2 linked regions of the Notamacropus eugenii genome follow. The protein of the gene in region 1 purifies or fractionates together with the protein of each later gene. This does not show direct contact. Links are inferred from orthologs where the notes say so. Each region holds a gene or a part of one and is shown on either strand. Other genes may lie near its edges.

What was found.
Region 2: the proteins of MRPS27 (region 1) and NOA1 purify together in Homo sapiens (co-immunoprecipitation; 3 studies listed by BioGRID and IntAct, counting the BioPlex papers as one, with this or other methods). This does not show direct contact. The link is inferred for Notamacropus eugenii from reciprocal best matches to the Homo sapiens genes MRPS27 and NOA1.

The regions. Positions count from the first base shown.
Region 1 is NC_092875.1:464,717,351-464,728,389, reverse strand, and holds the start of MRPS27 (small ribosomal subunit protein mS27), read left to right. Parts: upstream 1-6,170; 5' UTR 6,171-6,198; coding exon 6,199-6,274; intron 6,275-11,039. Other genes in the region: PTCD2 (pentatricopeptide repeat-containing protein 2, mitochondrial), read right to left, coding at 705-797, 5,907-6,012. UniProt on the Homo sapiens protein: RNA-binding component of the mitochondrial small ribosomal subunit (mt-SSU) that plays a role in mitochondrial protein synthesis. Stimulates mitochondrial mRNA translation of subunit components of the mitochondrial electron transport chain.
Region 2 is NC_092877.1:108,359,652-108,370,969, reverse strand, and holds the start of NOA1 (nitric oxide-associated protein 1), read left to right. Parts: upstream 1-7,190; 5' UTR 7,191-7,299; coding exon 7,300-8,602; intron 8,603-9,190; coding exon 9,191-9,355; intron 9,356-10,477; coding exon 10,478-10,680; intron 10,681-11,318. Other genes in the region: POLR2B (DNA-directed RNA polymerase II subunit RPB2), read right to left, coding at 412-484, 6,658-6,676. UniProt on the Homo sapiens protein: Involved in regulation of mitochondrial protein translation and respiration. Plays a role in mitochondria-mediated cell death. May act as a scaffolding protein or stabilizer of respiratory chain supercomplexes. Binds GTP.

The sequences.
Region 1 (11,039 bases):
CACCAGGTGTTCACTGCCCCCTACTGCCCAGGGACCTGACAGCCATCCAGACCCTTGCTTGACTTGCTCACAATCGCTGTTCTTGTAACAGCTAAGTGAACCGAATCTGGTACTATACACCAACGTGAGACAATCAACTTAGAGACTGTTCCTAAAGGACCCAAGAATGCCTGCATTGTCCACCCATGAGTCTGCCATGGGAAACTGCTATTCAACACCTAAGAATGATTATGTCATAGTCCGGCCCGCTTACATATATAAGCATAGCCTGTACCCCAACATGTTAAGCCCTCCAACTTGGGGGGGTGGGGGTTTCCTTGTTTACAAGTCATTTTCCTCACTCTGAAATAAATTATACCACTTATCTGTGTCCTGACACACCTGCCTCTAGTCTGCTCTGTTCACTTCTCGCCATTCCCAGATTAGGGATCGGTCCAGTCAAAATTCTGTTGACAGGAACATGATAAAGAAATGGAGGCAGGAATGACCATGACATAGGGAGAGGACAGTAAGACCAGCTGGATCAAAGAAGTGGGTACACGTTGGGGAATAATGAAAAACGCTGAGGTAGAGGTAAAATAGGACCCAATTACAAGGGGCTTTGAAAGCACAGTGCCTGGCACATAGTAAGCATTACAAAAATGCCAGCTATCATCATCATCATTCTATGGGGAGAACGAGCTTAACTGAACCATCACCATTACCTTTTTTGCCATGAAATCGAGAGGAAACCGCCACCTTCATCTGCTGGAATTCTTGCAGTTTCACAACATCATCTCTAAGCAGATAGCGTTTTCCTAAAAGTTTGAGAGGAAAATAAAACAGCAAAGGAATTTGTGGGCAACATTGTTCATCGGCAATTGCACAGCATGTTACGTTTCCAAAGCTCTTCATCCATCATCTCCCCTACCTTTACAGCCAGGGTAAATACAAATTATTCTCATTTTACTGATGATGGAGCTGAGGTAAGTTATTCAGAGTTACAAAGTTTATTCAGTCACCAAATTGGCTTGAAGCTTGGTTTTCTGGTTCCTATCCAGCATTTTCCCACTTCCATTCCCCATGGTGAGTCCCTGAGAGTTACTTTCCTACTCCAGCTGGGCTAGCCATCTCCAGATGAGACCAAATCCCATGCAAACACGGATGAAAGAAAAAAGACACAAAACCTTCTGTGTGCATTTCTTTAGTGACAATCGCCAATAATTCTGGCAGATGGTTATTTGGAACAGACAATCTGTGGCAAGAAAAAATCAGGCATCTGAAAATAATGCTGTAAGCGATCAGAGAGAAGGGATCAATTGAGGCCAACTTCTGAACTTTTTTCCTGTTTTTTTCTTTTTTTGGTCTGTGTTTTCTTTTTCAGTCATGCAAAACATATTTCCACATTGTCTATGTTGCAAGAGAAAATAGACCAAAAAAAGAAAAAGAAAAAACAGGAAAAATAAAGTGAAAAATGTATGCTTCCATCTGTACTCAGACTTCCATCAGTTCCTTCTCTGGAGGTAGATAGCATTTTTCATCATAAATCCTTCAGAATTGTCTCACACGCTGAGAACAACTAAGTCATTCACAGTGGGTCAGTCATCGTACAGTACTGCCGTTACTGTACACGATGTCCTGCTCACCTCACTTTGCATCAGTTCATATAAGTCTTCCCAGGTTTTTCTGAAATACTGAATTACTAGCCTGCCTCAAGTGTCTCCTCATTCCTGTTTATCCTCCACTTAGTTATCAAAGTGATCTTCCTAAAGCAAAATCCTGACCAGATCACACCATGTTGATGTTCAGTTGTTTCACTCATCTCCAACTCTTTGTGACCTCGTTTGGGGTTTTCCTGGAAAAAAAAACTGGACTGGTTTATCATTTCCTTCTCCAGCTCATTTTGAGAAAATTGAGGCCATCGGGGTCAAGTGACTTGGCTAGAGTCACCCAGCTAGTAAGTGTCTGAGACCAGATTTGAAGGTATTTGAAGGAGGCTTACTGTCTACTGTACCACCTAGCTGCCCCAGCTCACAACACATACCCCATTCAATAAACTCAATTCCCTCTCACTTTCAGGATCAAATAAAACACTATGTCTGGTGTTCAAAACTCTTTATATCCTGGCCCCCTCCGCTTTTCCAATCTTCTCACACCCCTACTTCCTTCCAGGGATAATGTGATCCAGTGACACTGGCCTCTTGGCCAAGGCACTCCAATCTCTCCAAAAATCTCACTCCTGCAAGTGTTTTCATCCCACAGCTGGGCTGTTTTCACTCCTTATCCCTGCCTCTTGGGTTCCTTTAAGCCCCTCCTCCAAATTCACCTCTACCGACTTTCCCAGGCCCCCTTAATGCCAGTGTCTTCCCTCTGTTGATTATTTCCAGTCTATCCTGGATATATCTTGTTCATATATAGATGTTTCCATGGTGTCTCCCCTTTTAGGCTGTGAGCTGGGGGACAGGAATTGCTTCTGACTTTTTCTGTATCCTTAGTAAAGTGCTTGACACATAGTAGGTGTTTAATAACTGCTTCTAGACCTCTTCTCCTTTTTCCTTTCCATTTTTCTTCCGCCTCTCTCTTCCTGCTTTCCCTTTCTCTTTTTGCTTTCCTCCTTAGGAAGCAGTGGAAAGGGTTAACTGGTTGCCACAGGACCAGAGCTCAAATCTGGTTGTGCCATTTACCAAACATATGACATCTGATGAGTCACCTGACTTTTCAAGTACTATTTTCTCAAAAAAAAAAAAATTATAAATTGAAGGAATTGGAATAGTTGGCTTATGGGGTCTCTTTCAACTCTAGAGAACACTAGAGGTGACGATTCTTGTCATTCTCCATCTAGATTTTGTGATATGGTTTGGTGGGCTATTCACCAAACAGCCATATATAATCCTCAAAATTTGATCATTTCTAAACTGTACTGTCCAGTAATATAGTGTATGTGTAAAGCAAACACACAGGTATCTAACAGTCACCGAGAAAACACATCAGGCCTTAGGACCTTACCTCTGTTAAAAAAAAAAAATTACCATTTTAGTGTAATTTGACATTTTGCTTTCTCTGCTTAGGGAATTTTAAAATTTTAGGGACAATATGTAACAATAAGCCCATGATATTATGAGAATCAGACAAGCTAACTCTAAGCCCTGAGGTAGGATCACCTATGAGTCAGGTATGAGTACATCAATGTTGTCTTATTTTCACAAAAAGGGACTGTGAAAAAATATACTGTACGACATTCAATCTTCTCACCCAAAGACATAAATGAGCAGGAAGCCAAAAAGCAAACTGACTTTATGTACCTTATTCCTTCGTACCACTGGCTCTCTTCATCTCTTGCCCCAGCCAATTCCAAGAGCCTCGTAACTGGTCTCCCTAGATCAAGGCTCTTCCCTCTCCTGCTCCTAGCTAACCACCTCGCTGCCTTGAAAGGAGGATTTTGGGGGTCATTTTCAAGAGCTTGTGTGATGCTCATGGATTTGGAATTGAGACCATGGAGGTTACCTGCTCCAATTCCTCCTATCCACAAACGAGGACACTGAGGCTGAAACCCAGCATGGAGGGGACCTCCAAAGGCCCAGGGGCACATCCTCTACACCACAGCCAAAATAATTTTCCTAAACCAGTTGCAAATGTGTCTCCACCTGCCTAACCCTCTCTCTAACTCAATAAACTTTCCTTGTTTTGGCAGTATAGACCTTTACGAACCGACTTGTCTCCAACTTAGCTTCCCATGTCCTGTGGTACAAATAAACTGGTATTCTGGCTGTCCTTCATACGCAGCCTCTAGACACAGCACAGGCTACCCACGCTTGAAATGTATGTCCTCCTTACCTGCATTTCCTAGAAGCCTAGATTCCTTCATATCATTTTCTACAATAGGACTTTCTTAATCACCTCCATTGCTAGAGCACAACTCCCCAAATCACCGAGCCTTCATTTTGTATATATCTGATGAGCCTCTCCAAACCCAGCTATAATGGTCAGGAACCAGGCCTTTACTCCAAGCCTTCCAGGGTGGGTGGGTCAGAGCATGAGCTACAATGGCAGAACCTTTGAAAGGAGCCCAGGTTCCTTCTACAAGGTAATGAGGAAGAAGAACTGGGGACCAGTAGAGGTAGTCTGGTAAACTTGGTTGATACTTATCAGTTCTCTATTTGGGGTTCCTTGGATGGAGGAGGGGAGGGAGGTGTAATGAAGCCGCAAAACAGAGCAGAGGCGATGAGATCTTTTCTATAGAATTCTTAGATCTGTCTAGTGGCAAAATGTCATACGTAAGAAGGACTGGAAAGATCTTAGTCAAAAGAGAAGACTGTAGTGCAAACAAGCCCTAGACTTGGAGTTAGAAGATCTGGTTTTGAGTCCATGTCAAGTCAATTATTGGTGCAGTGGATCGAGGGCCACAGTCATGAGGATGAGAGTTCAAACCTGGCCTCTGACACTTTACTACCTGGGTGACCCTGGGCAAGTCACTTAATTCTGTTTGCCTCAGTATCCTCATTTGTAAAATGAGTTGGAGAAGGAAATGGCAAACCACTCCAGTATCTCTGCCAAGAAAACTCCAAACGGGGTCACCAGGAATTGGACACAACTAAACATCCTCATTTATTAGATATTCCCTTGGCAAATTGTCTAACCTGCAAAATGGGAAAAATACTTGTACTCTCCACCTCTACAGTTCCTTATACAAACACCAACAGTTAGGAAGCCAGGTGTACCAGAGAGAAAAATGGATGTAGAGTCCTAAGAGCTGACTGAATACAGCTGAGCTAGTTACCACAGGGTGATCTTGGGCAAGCTAGGGGTCTCTAGGCCTCCATTTCTCAGCTGGAAAATGAGCAGACGTTCTCTCCCATCCTTTCCTGCCATAAATCCTTAGAGGCCATCAAAGGTGGCATTGTTGGGGTTCTCCAGAGTCAGAGGACCTGTGGTCAAGTCCCAGTTCTGCCACACATCTGTGGATGATGCTGGGCATCTCCATAAGTCATTTACCTTCTCTTAGCCTGTTTCCTCATCTGCGGATGAAGGAGTTTGTACTAGACTTCTAAGGTCCGTCCCTTCCAACTTTAAATCAATAAGCACCACACAAGCTCTTGAAAATTCCCCGTCCCCCCATCCTCCTTTAACTAAGTGGATCTATCCAAGTTTTGTGACCCTGGACAAGCCACAACCTCAGTTTCTTCAGCTGTAAAAAGGGGATAATTAAACAGCACTCTCACGGTTGTTGTGAGGATCCAATGGGATATTTGCCAAGCGCTCAGTGTATATGTGTGTGTACCTATATATACGTATTATATGTATACATCCTCCTTTCCCTCCACGTGGAAAAAAAATGTTACCATAGCCTATGTATACAAGTTCCCCCTAGAAAAGGTCCATGGGGTCACTAGAGGTGGTTTACCTAACTCAAGGATTTGCATCTTTATCAATCAATTAACATGAAGTACCTACTAAGTGCCAGGGGCTTAGGTGTTAAGCAAGCGCCAGGATACAAAAAAGGGCAAAAAAACTTCCCCTGCCCTCAAAGAGCTTACAACTTCACGGGGGGAGATGGTATGCAAACAAACATATACGAAGCAAACTATATTTTGCCATCCGTCCTTGGGCTCATAGATTTCTCCGGATTTAAAAGGGGGCCCTCGGAGCCTTGCCCAGACCCGTCAGGGCACCTCAGGGCACCACCCCCCCGGGGCCTAGGAGTCACTTCGAGACCGATCTGGGGCTGCAGCAAACGCCCGGGCACTTTCCGGGCCTTCCTGGGAGGACTCCGGCCGTTCAGAGAGGTTCGATCGGCGTCCGCACCTCGCGGGGAGGGGGCGGGGGACAGGAGGTTACTTTGTAACAAGTGTCGGCCCCAACTCCGCTCTACCCCAGGCCCAACCCTCCCGCGTCCCGAGGACAGAAGCCGCGCGCAGAGCCGCGGGTACCTCCGAGGGCCCAGCCGGGCGCGAGCCCCAGCAGCACGCCGCGGGTCGCGGAACGGGGCCCGGTGGCCAGCAGGATTCTATTCGAACTTCGAGACACAGCGGCCATTCTGACGCCACCCCCACGCTCTCCTCCGGACCGTACCAAGTGCAGGAAGTAGGGAGGAGCTGCCGCCTCCGAGCCACACCCACCCTCTTCTCCCTCGGCACCTCTGGAGGGCCGGAGGACGTAGAGGAAGAGACAGGAAAACCCTACGGTAGGGCTCCTGCGCTGGCCTTATACTTGGTACGTTCCATGATGGCGGCGCCCGTAGTGCGGCACGGGTGGCTCCTGGCCCGGAATGTGGCTCGGTCTCAGTGTTTCCTGGCAGGTTGGTGGTGGCTATTTCCTCGGCGGGGGGTGGTTGCTGCCTTTAGGCCTCCCCGAGGGCCAACTGCGGAGCTGGCACGAGGAGAGGTTGGGCCAGGAGAGCAGGAGGAGGCGAGGTTGGGGTGCCAGAAGAGGTGTTTGGGCAGTGTGCGTGTGTGCGTGTCATGGGGGAATGTCTCCGAGCCCCCTCCCCCGACACAGTGAAATTCACCAGGTGCGCTGCTCCGGGAGGACTCCGCAGCCCAGGCTGCGCTGGGAGCCAGCTGCACTGAACTGCTTAAATGTCTTAGTGTGCTTTCCTGGAGACGTTACATTAACCTTGGGTGGATCATCGTCATGGCCCCCTGCCCAGGTAGCCGTTTACCTGGCTTGCTTGGACCGCCCTTTTATCCTCTCTTTGATTTCTGTTTTTAAAACCCGGAGTTTCCGCCTTTATGAGAAGGGGGCGGAGTATTAATCATCAATCCTGCGGTACCTGACCTTGGCCAAGCCTTCTCCTTGACCTTTCCTCGATACAATGTTTCTGCCTGTGCCAGACGAATCACAGTTACATTAGTATCATCATTTGGAGAGGTGTAATGGACAGAGGAAGGCTAGAATAAACCATTTACGTGTCCACATTTTTTTTTTGTAAGTAATTAGGCAGCTTAAATTTGTAACAAATTTAGTCCTCATGTCATCCTTATCAGAACGTCTGATTTAGGATGGAAACCATCCATTTCATTTTCTCTCAGTGTCATCCAATATCAGTTGACCTCTCCCTTTCCTTTCCACTCTGGGAAGAGCTATTTTGTCCTAGTTTAGAATTCTAGAATAAACTGAAGTTCGTTGAGGATCCAGCACATAGAGTTATAGCTTTATCAGAAGGGTGCTGGGTAACCCCTTCTTAACTCCAGTGCTTTCCTTTTTTTAATTATTTCCTATTTATGGAGAGTTTCCAGCTGACAGAATTCAAACAAAGAAAACTAAAAATGGTATTTGAAGTTCCATCTCAAGTCTACTCATCTAACTACTTTATCCTTTCACCTGACATCCTACCCTATACCCCAGGTAAATTCTCTGGTGGTTTTTGCTGCAGTATCTTAGGGCCTTTTTTATACCCACAAAATATTTGCTAGCAGTCATCATTAAACATTTAATGAAGTTATTCATTCATTCATTCAATAAACATTAAGTGCCTATTATGCCTTCAGTGGACATATTATGGCTCTAAGCATAGTAATTCATATGTTCTTATGTTAATAATACATTAGTGTTCTATTGGCATCTCACATTTAGTGTCCAAAACAGCACCTATTATCTTTCCCCTAAAACTATCCATCTTCACTATATCGATTAAGGATATCACTGTCATCAGTCATCCCAGTACAAAACCTGGGAGTCACCTTTGACTCCTAAATCTCTCTCTGTCTGTCTTATCAGTGGCTAAAATTTGACCTCCTCATCATCTCTAGCATTGGTCCCTTTCTATCTCCTCCCATTACAACCACCTCAGTTCTGGCCCTCTTCAGCTGTAGCCTGGACAATTATAGTAATCTCCTAATGGATCTCCCTGGATCCATTTTGTTCCCTCTCCACCCAACTGCTGAATTGATGTTTCTAAAGTGTAGATCTGAGCATTATTTCATTTCTTTTCTCAGTAATAAGCTTCAGTGGCTATCCATTGCCATTTGAATAAAATACATACTTCTCTGTTTGGCATTAAAAGCCCTTCATGGCTCCAGCCCTTATTTCCAAGTTGCTCACTCTTAATATGCACTACTCTTCCTCACTCTGTATGTGCCAACCAAACCAGCCAACTTGCTGTTCTCTGTATATGACAGATACAAAATTTCATATCCTGCCTCTGTGACTTTGTACAAGTTGCCCTTCTTGCCTGGTATTCTTTCCTCCATAACCTCTATGTCTTAGAACCCCTAGCTCTTTCCAGTGCTTTCCTCGTTATTTCCTAATTTTCCCAGTTATTAGTGTCTTCTACCAAATATCTGTGTATTTTGCTTCGGTGTTATATGTACTTCCCTGTAAATGTGTGGCATCCTCCTGGTAGAGCAGCAGCTCCTTGAGGGTAGGGACTTTGACACTTTTATATTCGTATCCCCAGCTCGGTGCCTGGAGGAGAGCAGTTGCTTAATAAATGCTAATTGATTGTTCTTAAGATATCTTCTGGTCTGTTCTTTACTGGCTAGCAGAATCATAGACTCTCAGAATAAGATGAAATCTCAAAAGGTCATCTAATGCAGTCCATGCCTGCACAGGAATTTCTGCTGTAATATCCTCAACCAAGTTTTCATTCATTTTCTGCTTGATGACCTCCAGTGAAGGGAATTCATCAGCCCATAAGTCAATCTGTTCCATTTTTGGATAATCATTAGTCAGTTTTTCTTTCCAGCCTAAGCCTGCCTCTGAACACTTTATTCCTTGTTCCTAGTTTTGGCCCTGGATCTAAGTGAAACAAACACAACCTCTCTTCTATAGGATGGCCCTTCAAATGCTTGAAAACAGTCCTCATGTTTCCTTCTAAGTCTTCTGTTCCTTCCAGCCAGCATTCTTCTCACCCTCGCTGCCATCCTGTGGACTCAACTCTCGCTTACTAATGCCATTTCCATGTGTACCATACTCCAGAGGCAGACTTTTTTGTTTTCAATACTGTTTTTTCCCCCAATTACATGACAAGACAATTTTTTAGTATTCATTTTTACAAGATTTGGAGTTCCAAAATTTTTTCCCTCCCTTCCCCATTCGAGGCAGTCTTAACATAATAGAGTTCAATAGGAGCATCATCTCCTTTGTTCCAGACACTTATATTAATATGTCCCAAAATCAAACTAGCTTTTTGGGGCTGTTACATCCTACCATTGACTCATTTTGAACCTATGGTCCAGTACAACTCCTGCATTGGAACTATTCCAAAAAGATGAGAATGTATTCTATTTTTTTTACATTTATTAAGATTTTTATTTATCATGAAACATATTAATGTTTTAAAAATTACTAAGTGGTAAGAGTTTTAAAACTCTTTTTCAAGTTTTCTTACTGTTTACATTTAGTAATGACTAAAAACGTAGTAAAGAGATATGACTCTTATACCTCTCAGATTAAAGACAGACTGGTTGGTTGCTTTGGGGCATGTGACCAATAAGAAAGAATACACGATGACAACCCACTCATCAAGTTAGGAGAAGAGCACAGTAGTGACTAGTGGGAGTAAGGTTAAGTGGGACATAGGCAAAACATTTGTTTGATCTTTACATTCTACATTTTTGCCAGCTACCCAGAATCCAATGTATTCCATTTTTAAGACCTTTAGAAAAAAGAAAACTCCTTCCCTTTCCAGTGTTTATCATTTGCTACTGTCAGAAATTTCTTCTATTTGTCAAACTTAAATTACTCCTTAAATTTTTGTCTTTCCTTTATATGGAGTGGAAAACAACTGGTTACGGTCCTTTTATGTTTGCAATCCTTTCGTATCCCATGTAGATTATTAAATCATTTCCCTTCTGTCAAGTTAATAACCCCCGTTTATATAGTTCTTAGGAGGCCATGCGCACCTCATCAACCACTTCTGCCTATGGATTGGGTATGTATAGCTCCAATTCACCAATTTTGTCCTTAGGTTGATTTTTGGAACCCATGTACAAGACTTTACATTTTATCCCCATTATGTTTCATCTTTACTCATTTTGATCCCAAACTGTCCTGTTGAGAATTTTTTGGAGTGTGTCTCTGTCCACTGTTAGCTACTAGTGTTGTTCATTCATTTCAGTCATGCCTGACTCTGTGACCCTATGTGGGGTTTTCTTGGCAAGGATGGAGGAGTAGTTTGCCATTTTCTTCTCCAGCTCATTTTACAGATAAGGAACTGAGGCAAACAGGGTGAAGTGACTTGCTCAGGGTCACATAGCTAGTAAATATCTGAGACTGGATTTGAACTCAGGTCCTCCTGATGCCAGGCCCAGTGCTCTATCGACTGTGCTAATGGCTGGCTGCCATTGCCTACCACTAGCTTTCAGCTTTGTGTTACCCAAAAGTGTGATAGCTCTGCCCTCTGTGCCTTTATCCAAATCACTGATAAATATGTTGAACCCCACAGGGCCAGGTACAGATCTCTGAGGCACTCCGCTAGAGATTTGGCATCAAACCATTAATGACTTTTGGAGTTCCAACTATTTAATCATTTCTGAATTTACCTAACTATGCATTTGTCCAGCCTCCATCTCTTCTTTTGTCCACTAGAGTAGTGTGAAGAACTTTGGCATATAGTTTGCTGATGTCTAGATAAATTACATAGCAGTCCTCAATCTATCAATCTTGTAACACTGTCGGTCAATCAGCATTTTTTAAGCTCCTCTTACAGACCAATCTCTGTGATAGGTGCGGGGGATAGAGAAACAGTTCCTGCCTAACTTATATATATAAAAATGTAACAAAAAAGAACATTATCTCTGTAGAGAAGAAAATTAAAACCAAAGGTTTAGAGTGTAGAAACAGAAAAAAAGGACCCTTGGGGCTTACCTAGACTAGGATACCACAAAGAGGACAGAAGGCAAAGTCAGATAGAAGCAGAACTGGGCGTGGGGTAGGGGAGAGGTGTCACAACAATTTAGAGGTTGGTATATCTAGGAGGATAGGGTGGCCAGGTGTCATGCTTCAGAAAGGTCAAGAAGGGTAAATGTTGAGAAAGTACCAAAAAAAGAAATGAGGTTAGTGTGTGGGAACTGTTCTTGATGAAGCCATGCAGGCCTTTTATGATAATGTTCTTTTCCATT
Region 2 (11,318 bases), on another chromosome or scaffold:
GACCTACAGGGCCACATGTGGCCTTGAGGCCGCAGGTTCCCCACCCCTGATTTAGAGTAAGGAACCTGACAATGGCCTGAGAAGTTTAAGAGAAAAGAGAGGTCTATGAATGGTGAGATATACAGCAAACAGTAAAGCAATGTGAGAGGGAAAGCAGAATTTTTTCCCTTCCTTTAAAAGCTGGAAAAATGAAATGCTTTATTTCACCCAAAAATGAAAAATGTGGTAAATTATACTATTTTACTCTCAACCAATCTCCCAAACTTTCTGTAAGAACCACTTTTTTAGTTAGCTAAGAAAAATTCTTCTGTCTAGTTCACTTTCTGACCCAGAGCATGTAAAACAGAAAGCATTTGCCTTATATCAAAAGTTTATTCAAAGAAAATCTTCAGTTTCCAGGAAAAAAATTACCTAATAACAATCCAGCAAGCTTCTTGCCACAAATCTGGAGTTATTTCATCATCATCTTCATCATATTGCATATCTACAAAGAAAAATCACAAAATACTTTATTACTTTTCTGTACAATAATATAATGCTGTCCTTCAGAGTAAATAAAGCAAGATTTCTGAAAATTAAAACTAACCTTTTTTCCCAAAGAATTCATGATGAAAAAATGCTATCCACTTCCAGAGAGAGAAGTGATGAACTCTAAATGCAAACTGATGTATAATTTTCTCATTTTCCTTATTTTTCTTGCTTTTGTGAAAAATGGCTGATATGGAAATCCTTTGCAGAATTTTACATGTATAACTGATTACATACTGCTTGACTTCTCACTGGGTGGGGGAGGGGACAGGCAGGAGAGAATTTGGAACTCAAAAGTTTAAAGAGTGCTAAATTGGGGGAGGGGACCTAAACTTTTTTTCTTGATTTTCTAAGCCAATTCCCTTAATAAAACAACATGCATGCACTCTCACACTCATATCATATACAAATAATCCTCAACTCACTAAAGGTTTGTGTTTTTAACATTCATTTATAAATTAATCAAGAATGAAATGAAAGTAGCCAAGGACTTGCTTCCTACCCAAAAATTATATGTCTATATATTATGAACATTTCTTCAGGAAGACAACCGTACAATGCTGGATGTAGAAAACGTTACATGGCAACATAACAATATGACAGGAATCAATCAACATGTAATTACTGATAACTACTACTAATTACTCTATGTCAGGTACTGTGCTAAGCACCGGGGATACAAAGATCAAGAAAACAGTCCTTATGCACCAAGAAACTTGGAGGACAGGGATTGTCTTTTGCCTCTTTTTGTATCCAGAACTTACCACAGGGTACATAGTAGGTACTTTACAAATGTTTTATGGTTTACTGAATGACCTTCTGATGGAGGAGACAACATAAACAAATATAAGTATACACCAAAAATAAGACATTTCATTAGACAAAGGAGAAAAATTAGGAGAGGTTTCATGTAGGAGCTAGCATCGAAGGTCTGGTTTTGTAGAAACTAGGGCTTCTAAGAGGGAAAGGTGAGGAGAGAGTGTATTTCAGGCATAGGAGACAGTCTGTACATGGCACAAGTATGGCAGATGGAATACTTTGTGAGGAACAGCAAAAAAGCCAGCCTGGCTAGACTGGAAAGAACTGTGGCTACATAAAGACTAATTCTTATATAAACTAATTCTAAAATTACTACTGTATCTACAGTCAGACCATTAAATGATTAGAAGATCACAATAAATATTAACTTAAAAGGATAAAGATGAGAAAACACTGTACCATTATAGCAACTTCAACCTGACCTAAACAAACAAGCCTATGTCAAAGTGTCATGAATTAGGCAGTCCAAAAGAGCCCAGAAAGCAGCTGATCCAAGGTAGGAAGGATGAGGTGTTGCAATTACACAGCCTCTAAAAACAACACCAGTTTAACTGAGTACAAACTCATCTGTAAGACATTATGGCGTACAAATGCTATGAGCAGTATCACTCACAAAACAGCGTAAAGAAAACGAGCCTTCAGAAAACATCTCAACTTCCAAGATGCAGCAATACTAAACGGTCCTAAAGCAATGTCCCTCTCTGATCTTTGTGTAGAAGGCACTGTGGCTACAAAGCCAAACAGCCCACGGTCTCAAATCAACTTGGTATACATGTTGCCTGTGGAAATACACAGACACCAAAGATAGAGTGCTGAGGTTAAGGAGCAGCAAGCAGATCTGTTTTGATAGAATACAGCATCTTGTTGAAGAATGAAATAGTACTGAAAAAGAAGGTAAGATCCAGATAGTAAATGTTTTACACAGCAGACTAAAGTTTGTATTTTGTCTTAGAGACAACAGGGAACCACAAAAACTTTTTGAGCAGAGGACTGAAATGATTAGATTTATAAAGACGATTTTGTTAAGTTAGTTATATAGAGGGATGATGGGAGAAACTGGGAAAAGAGAAACTAATTTGGAAGCAATTGCAAAAGTGTAGTTAGGACCTATGTGTTTTTTGGCAAGTCACTTAACTTTTCTGAGTCTCAGTTTCCTCATTTGTAAAAATAAAGGACTTGGACCAGATGACCTTGAAGAGGCCCTTCCAGCTCTATGATATTATGATTTCCAAAACACAAAATGAAGCAGAAATGCAGCCATTTTTTAACTTCGACAACAGTGGAATATGATATTTAAACCCACCACATTAATACTCAATGTAGTATTTGAATAAGTGGTAATGATACTTTAAAAAAAGGTTAAGTCAGGAAAACGTGCTAGACTTAATTTCATATACAAAAGAAATCTGTGCTGATTCTTTATCTCTTGGAAAAAAACATTCAAAAAGAATGAAAAACATTACAATGATTACACAACCTGAAGAAAAGTTTTAAAGATAACATCAATCATTGTGTGAAAATAGTATATACTTTCCTGAATGAAAAGTTCTCATGCAAAACATTATTTTCTACAGTACACCTTTAATGTTACACAATTCAGATTACCTTTTCCATTACATCTTTAAGGTCATACAACTAATGAAAAAGTGTAGAAAACTTTAAGGCTCTATTGTGTTACTGATTTAAAAGAAAATTTTGCCTAAGTTATACCAAAGGTAGCACAAAGGCCCTCCTCAGAAAGGTGTCTCCCATGTGTATATTAAATCACACATGAATATACGATCAATGTAACTAAGGATAACATTACTCAATAAGCCACTAAATGGCAAAATCAAATGAAGTACTGAAAATCAAGAAAATCAAACTGATTCACTTTTGTAATTGATTTCATTCTGTATCACTACCAACATTTTGTGTAACTACCTAAGCCACATTTCATTTGAGTCTGAGTTAAGTTTGGAAGTTCAGCTTTCCTATAAATCACTCACTATCTCTGAGTTAAGGTTAGAAGTTCAGCTTTCCTGCTAATCAAATCACTGTTCTATTCTTATGTCAAGGATAATAATTATCTTTGAAGGATGAAGGTGGATGCCAGGGAGTCTGGTCTATTACCTCTATAGCACTGGCTGTCCTTCAAAAAAGTCTGGTTTGTTATCACTGTGAAACCAATTAGCCATACAAGTGGACACCACCAATGAACTTTCCTTAGCAACGCTATGAAAGGAAGGGTTTTTGCATTCCAAATTTACAGCATTTAACATTGTTTTCACTATGATGTTGCCAGTCTTCTAGTTTTTGGAGGCTCCTCCTTTTGTCCATAAAAATTTTATCAGCCCTCGTTCAAGGTCTTAGCTAACTGAAAAGGTTGAGCCTTTGTTTACTGGAAAATTCACGCTTTGCTAATAAGTTGAGTGTGCTTGGTGCTTTGTGGCTCAGTTTACCTTAATTTTAATCAAGAAAGTATAACATAAGGAGACATGTTCGCCTAACATGCTCAAAAGTATCACGAAAGATGTCTTGCAGAGTGAAAATATAAAGATTTCATGTTAATGACAACGTTATCCCAGAGGTGTGAGGAGGAATGGTGATTAGGATAGGGAGAAAGACTAGTAAAAAAAAAAACCAAAAACTAGCTTTAAATTTCAAATCAATAATACTAGGGCTTCTGGGAAGGGTATGTAAAATGACTCCCTAATCAATCAATTCACAATTCCTGTGACTCCCTTCCATGGACATCAGTCCCCTATATGTGTTATCATCCCCTATTAGAATATAAGACCAGTAACTACAGGGTCTTTCTCAGATTTTTGAATTTATATTCACAGATCTTGCCACAGTATTAGCACACATTAAACACTAAATGCTTTTTCATTAATCAAAGTTTTGTGGTAAGATGGCCTTGCTATCTATCCTGCTGCTACATCTTCCGAACTCCTTGGTGACTCTAATCTGACCTGCTGGAGCAGCCTAAGCACCCCAGGCTTTGCCATCATCCATCTGCTGATGCACCTTTGGGACTTCTTGGCCCTTCCAATCACCCCAAAGCTGAATTTGCAGATGTGTTATCTACCCCAAATAAAGTTTAAATTCCTTGAGAACAGGGTCTGCCTCATTATTTCTATCTATATCCCCAATTCTTAAGATATAACAATTCCTTTTTTCTTCTTTCATGCATTTGCAAAATACCAAGAAGGGAGAATGAGGGTAGGTAAGCACAATGGTAACAAAGCTAAATGATGAGATCAGATGAGAAAGAACTGGAAAAGAAATTAATACCTATCAACCGAGGAATGGCTAAAAAATTACACACATGAAGAGAACAAAATGACTGAACCTTTTATAAAAGACAAAATACAAATTCAGAGGATGGGAAGACATGTAAAATGGCGTTGTGTGCATCAAGCAGAACCAGGAAAACAAAGTACAGCACTGTGAAAATACAAAAAGGACAAAAAAACCTCAAGTGAATGTTGTTCAAGAATGATGTTCCTAAAAATATTTGAGCAATTTTCTCTGATAATGGTCTCATTTCTCAAATATATAGAGAACTGAATCAAATCTACAAGAACATAAGTCATTCCCCATTTGATAAATGGTCGAAGGATATGAACAGGCAGTTTTCAGATGAAGAAATCAAAGCTATCGATAGTCACACAAAAGAAGTGCTCTAAATCACTGTTAACTAGAGAAAGGCAAATTAAAACTCTTGAGATACTGGTTCACATCTATCAGATTAGTTAATATGACAGAAAAGGAAAATGACAAAATGCTGGTAGGGAGGTCAGAAAACTGGGACACCGCTGCACTGCTGGTGGCATCGTGAACTTTTTCAAACATTCTGGAAAGCAATTTGGAACTATGCCCAAAGGGTCATAAAACTGTGCATATCTTTTGACCCAGTAATAGATCTACTAGGTTTGCATACCAAAGATGTTATTTTTAATAATGGAAAAGGACATATATGTACAAAAACACTTACAGCAGCTCTTTTTATGGTGGCAAAGAATTGGAAATCGAGGGGTTACCCCACAACTGAGGAATGGTTGAACAAGCTGTGGTATATGAATGTGATGGAATATTGTACTGCAATAAACGATGTGCAGAATGCTTTCAGAAAAACTTGGACTTATGAGAACTGATGGAAAGCGGATGAAGTGAGCAAAACCAGAACTCTGTACACAGTAACAGCAATACTGAATGATGATAAATCGTGAATGGCTTAGCTATTCCCATCAATTTAAAAATCCAAGACAATTCTGAAGGACTTTGGATGAAAAATCCTATCCACCTCCAGAGAAAGAACTGAGTCTGAAAGCAGACTGAAATACATTATTTTTTACTTTATTTTTTTGTGGGGAGGGGAGGTCTGTATTTTCTTTCATTACATAAATGTTATGAAAATGTTTTGCATTACTGTACATAACACATACATACATTTCAAACATAACCACATATAACACATAGAGGTTAAACCTATATAACCTATATCAAACTGCTTGCTGTCTTGGGGAGGGGAGAGGAGTGGGAGGGAGAGAATTTGAAACTCCAAATCTTAAAAACTAATGTTAAAAATTTTACATGTAATTGGGGGAAAATTTTTTTTTAAAACGCATGATGTTCCTAGTTCTGTAGACTTCTATCTGGAAGGAACGTTAGAATCCATCTTATCCTACCCCTTCATTTTACAGAAAAGGCAACTTAATATAGAAACGTGAGAAGACCCTAAAAAGAGGTGAAAAAATTCACCTATTTCCTTCAATTAGTGGGGAACTAGGGGTGGAGAATTCTGTCTATACAGTCAAACAAAGCGTTCGATCTGCTGAATCGCTTTTTAAAACCTGTTACAAGGAATGTCTCGCTGGGTAACGAAGGGATGGGACGATACCCAGGGACGAATGTAAAGTTAAAAAAAAAAAAGGAATTCATTAATAAAATTAAGATGACAACTAAAAACGCGAGGGAGGAGCAGACAGGTTAGGAAACCTTAGGCTGGGCTCTAGGGTAACGACACCTAAGGACCATCATTCAGGGACGAATGCAAAGTAAAACAAAGATGCATTAATAAAATCAAAGTGACCACTAAAGGCAAAACGGGAGGGTGCGTCACGTTAGGAGACACGAGGCTGGCCTCTCGCGTAACAGACCCACAAGCACCAGGACCGCCAGCTCTATTCACTAAGTATCATGGACCTCAGGGCTGCCCGGGCCTCAACGTTACAAGTGGCATCCTGGAGAAGGTGGGTAACTAAAAGAATACAAAACACCCCTCCTCGGCCCTGTCCGGGAGGAGCTCTTAACTGGGCCTCTTACCCTCGTCCGCGTCGTACATCTTGACAAATAATTCTCAATATTCCTCCCAAATTAAGGAACAGAAAAGAGCAGACGACGCAGCCACAGACCAGCAAACTCGAGAGAGCTTGAGTTTCCGGCGTTCCCGGCACTCTTTGCGGCTCGATCCAGCTCCTCAGCTCCGAAACCTTCCGGTTCCCGCTCCGACTTCCGCTCAGCCAGAGGTCGAGCGCGCCGCGTCCTGTGGTGGCGCTGAGCAGAGTGGGCGGGCCGTTTCGCCTTCCCACTGCGCATGCGGCCTGCGGAGGAGGCGGGGCTACGTAGGGGCTGGCTTGCGCGCGGGCTGGATTCGCGCCTCCAGCAACCTAGCGTGCTTTAGATGGAAAGAATGTATCTAGGTCTGCCGAGGTGTCTGGGGGCAGGAGGCCTAAAGCCGGGAGGAAAGTGACTTTAGGCCTGTTGCTTCAGCAGGAAGGAATGAGAGATTGAAATGCTAATGCTTAGGTGGCGATATTGTAAGCGCTTTGGGGACCTGAGGATAGAAGCGAAAAACCACGAATTTAACTTAACCTGGAACCTACATTGATCCATTTTACATGCGCTTTTATGAATTTTTTATTCTAATTTTTGCTTTTAATTTTATTAAATTTTACCCCTACGTTCATGGCCAGCCATGATTTTCAAACTGAAGAAAGGTTAATACGTGAGAGCGCCTTTTCCCCAGCGGAGGACGGAGGGGGGCGATCAGTCCCTCCCGAGCCACCGTACGGGGCGGTGTCGCGGCCACGTGCCCGCCCCGCCCCTCCCGGCGCCTCCGTCCCCATGCTTCCCGGGAGCTGCTCGTGCCGGCTGCTGCGCCTGTGGCGCCGAGGGGCCGCGCCTCTCTTCACGTGCCATGGCGCGCCCGGGTCGCGGCCCCCCGCGGGCCGGCCGGCCGCCTCCTCTGTCTTCTCCGCGGTGCGGCGGCAGCAGGACCAGGAAGCGAGAAGAGGAAGGGGGGTGCCGGCCGCGGGGACGATGGTGGACCCGAGCCGGCTGGAGGAGACCTTCGTGTTCCCGGAGTACGTCCCCGAGGCGGACCCCGACGTCGAGCCGTCCGTGTCGGCCGAACTGCGGCGGAGGCAGGAGGAGGAGGAGCGGGAGCAGCTGCTGCGGGACGAGCGGCGGCTGGCGCAGCAGCGGAAGAAGACGCGGGAGAAGGGGCTGCGCCCGGTGTTCGGGAGCCCCGACCCCGCGGTGCCGGCCAGCGGCGTGAGCTGCTCGGGCTGCGGGGCGGAGCTGCACTGCCAGGACCCCGCCGTGCCGGGCTACCTGCCCAGCGAGAAGTACCGCAGCCTGGAGGCGCGGGCCGAGGCGGGCGGGCTGGCCCGGGCCGTGTGTCAGCGCTGCTGGCTCCTGGTGCACCACCAGCGGGCCCTGCGGGTGCGCGTGAGCCGGGAGCGCTACCGAGAGCTGGTGCACGCCGCGCTGCGGCGCCCGGGGCCGGCCCTCGTGCTCTACGTGGTGGACGTGCTCGACCTGCCCGACCCCCTGCTGCCGGACCTGCCCGCACTGCTCGGGCCCAAGCAGCTGATCGTGCTGGGCAACAAGGTGGACCTGCTGCCCGCCGACGGCCCGGGCTACCTGCGGAGGCTCCGGGAGCGTCTGTGGGACGAATGCGCCCGAGCCGGCCTGCAGCCGGCGCCCAGGAAGGCGAAGAGGACGGGGGCCGGGGCTCCGGGGGCCGGGCCGGCCAGGCCGGGCTGTGTGGTCCAGGACGTGCTGCTTCTCAGCGCCAAGACGGGCTACGGGGTGGAGGAGATGATCTCGGCGCTGCAGCGCTCCTGGCGCTACCGGGGCGACGTCTACCTGGTGGGCTCCACCAACGCCGGCAAGTCCACGCTCTTCAACGCGCTCCTGCACTCGGACTACTGCATCGCCAAGGGCGCCGACGCCATCGACCGGGCCACCATCTCCCCCTGGCCGGGTGAGCCCCGGCGGGAAGCCTCCCGCACGCTCTGCCCCCCCGCTCGGCCTCCATGTCCTTGCTTTGTGTGTGTGCACGTTGTCTTCCCCGTCAGACTGAGCTCCCGGAGCGCGGACGCCGTCTCTTGCCTCTTTGTTACCCCTAGCTCCTAGCACGGTGCCTGACACGCAGCCTAAGCTTATTGAACGTTGGTTGAAGCGAATTGAAGCTTCCTCCCCACCCCCATCCCGCCCTTGCTGTCCAGGTGCTTCCTCGTCTGCCCACGAGGAGGTGTCCGGGACCATCCTGGTGAACTCCAGCTTTTCTCCGCTCAACCCCTTTTGGGTCCTGGGGTCCTTACTCCTCTTTAAGGTTTCTTGACTGGTTTCATGCATCCCCACGAGGCAAGACAGAGCCCATGTTTTCAGGGTCTTAATGTACCCTCCCTGTCTTCCCTAGCCAGTATGACGAATGCTTGGAGTCACCAAGCACTGGGAAAAGGGAAGACAGGCAGCTTTTTGTTTCTGTTTTTATTAAGACTGCACGAAAATACATTGCATTTTATTTTCTTCATCACAGTTAAAATTTACACGTGCTTTGATCTTTCAGGAACAACCTTAAATCTCCTGAAATTTCCTATTAGCAACCCTACTCCTTACAGAATGTTTGAAAGGAACAGGAGACTTAAAGAAGAAGCAGCTAAAAGTGAAGATGACCTTACTGAGCAAGAGCAGAAGCATCTTAGTCAGATGAAAAAGCAGGGTTATTTAGTCGGTGAGTACCCGAACAGACCGTGGACTAACCACCTTTCAGATCCTGTGCCCTGGAACATGAAATCAGAACCCAGGATGATCCGGACAACCTCTACCTATTCTGAGACCCAGTGCTGTAGTTAAAACTACTGTTTAAAAGCGCACCTGGGCAAGACATTCAGAAAAACAGGAGAATTTGTTTCTGGTTTCTTGAGGGGAGTGGGCGTGGCATAGTAGGGTTGTCAGTTGAATCAGTTGCCTTGCCAAGAAGTAAAAATTGTCATTTCCAGGTTGTGCCCAAATACTGACTCAGATTCCTTTTCCTGCTATCGGTGATGCTGCCAAGTTATGCTGAGAGCTGTTGTGTTTCTGATCCTTCATTGCTACTCAGTCTCAGTTTGAATTCTTATATATGCAACTGCACATAAAATATTAATGTTTATGCTGACTTCTCAATTCCTTTAACGCTTTCCTCTGCCACCTACTGACTCTGGATGTCCCTTCCAGCTCTAAATCTGTGATTCTATGCTAAATTCATTTATCATCCTGTAGTACTGATGCCATATGCTGCCAAACTCCTGCATAGTACTATTTTCTATCTAGAGCTAAAAAGGGATTTAGTCTGACCTCCTCATTTTACAGATGAAGAAAAATAGATCCAGGGAAGAGATTAAATGGCTTGCCCTAAAGTATCCACCTACCTGTCATTATTTCTGTGACTTAGTCCCTGTGTCTGTGTGTTCGTCCTTTGTTGCCGAAGAAGACCGTGCCATCAGAGAAATAATGACATGACTTGCACTTGACTTTGTTTTGAATGAAGGAGGGCTGTGCAGGTCACCAGCCTCACTTTTCCTCCAGAGCCATATGAATCCAGTGACCAGACATTCATCAGGATGACTGGAGATGACCCAGGATGAGGCAATTAGGGTTAAGTGACTTGCCCAAAGTCACAGCTAGTGAGTGTCAAGTGTCTGAGGTGAGATTTGAACTCAGGTCGTCCTGACACCTGCACTGGTGCTCAATCGGCTGCACCACCTAGCTGCCCCTTGTCCCTTTGTAGAAACTGAATGGAATGCACATGTATAAAAGGTAAAAATTCAAACATTTTAAAGATCAATAACTTCAAACTACTCTCTTGTTGTAGGAAGAGTTGGAAAAACATTCTGTTATTCAAAAAATGATGAACCTACTTTCGAGTTTGATGCTGATTCACTCGCATTTGACATGGAGAATGAGCCTCCGAGAATAATACACGATGCACCCACTATGCATGTTGAATTGACACCTCAAGAAGTGAAAGATGTTCACTGGTTTTATGATACCCCTGGAATTGTAAAAGAAAATTGCGTATGTATTTTGTTTCATTTAGAAGGGGTCAAAAACAGTGAGACTTCTGTCTAAGCTAGCAAAAATGAATTTGAGGGAAAATGTTGGGCAAAAAACCCTTACCTTTGGACTTAGTTCCACCAGGTATTATAGAATATGCAAATGTGGTTTTCTCCCCACAGGCAAGTAACTCTGAACCTGGAATTCCCAGTGAACATCTCACTTATACATTTAGGGGGATGGTGTGAGTCAAGGGGAGGATATATATTATATATACATATTATATATTATGTTTTCCCTTTTTGGAAGGAAAACTAGGCAGAAATAGCGCTAAATAATATCAAATATTTGATGGTGTTGGATGTCAGCATAAAATAAAAAAGTAATCATTGTATATCGATATGGGAGGGGGTGTGTAGAGAGAATTGGTAGAAAGACTATAGCAACTACTATGTGTCAAACACTGGTAAACCCCTTAAAAAATATTCTTTCATTTGATCCTCACAACAAGGTGGTAAGGTAGGTACTGTTATTATCCCCATTTTACAGTTGAAGAAACTAAGTTAAAGGTTAAGAGACTTGCTGAGAGTCACTTGGCTAGTAAATGTCTGAGGACAGATTTGAACTCTTCCTGACTCCGAAGCCCAGTGTTCTATCTA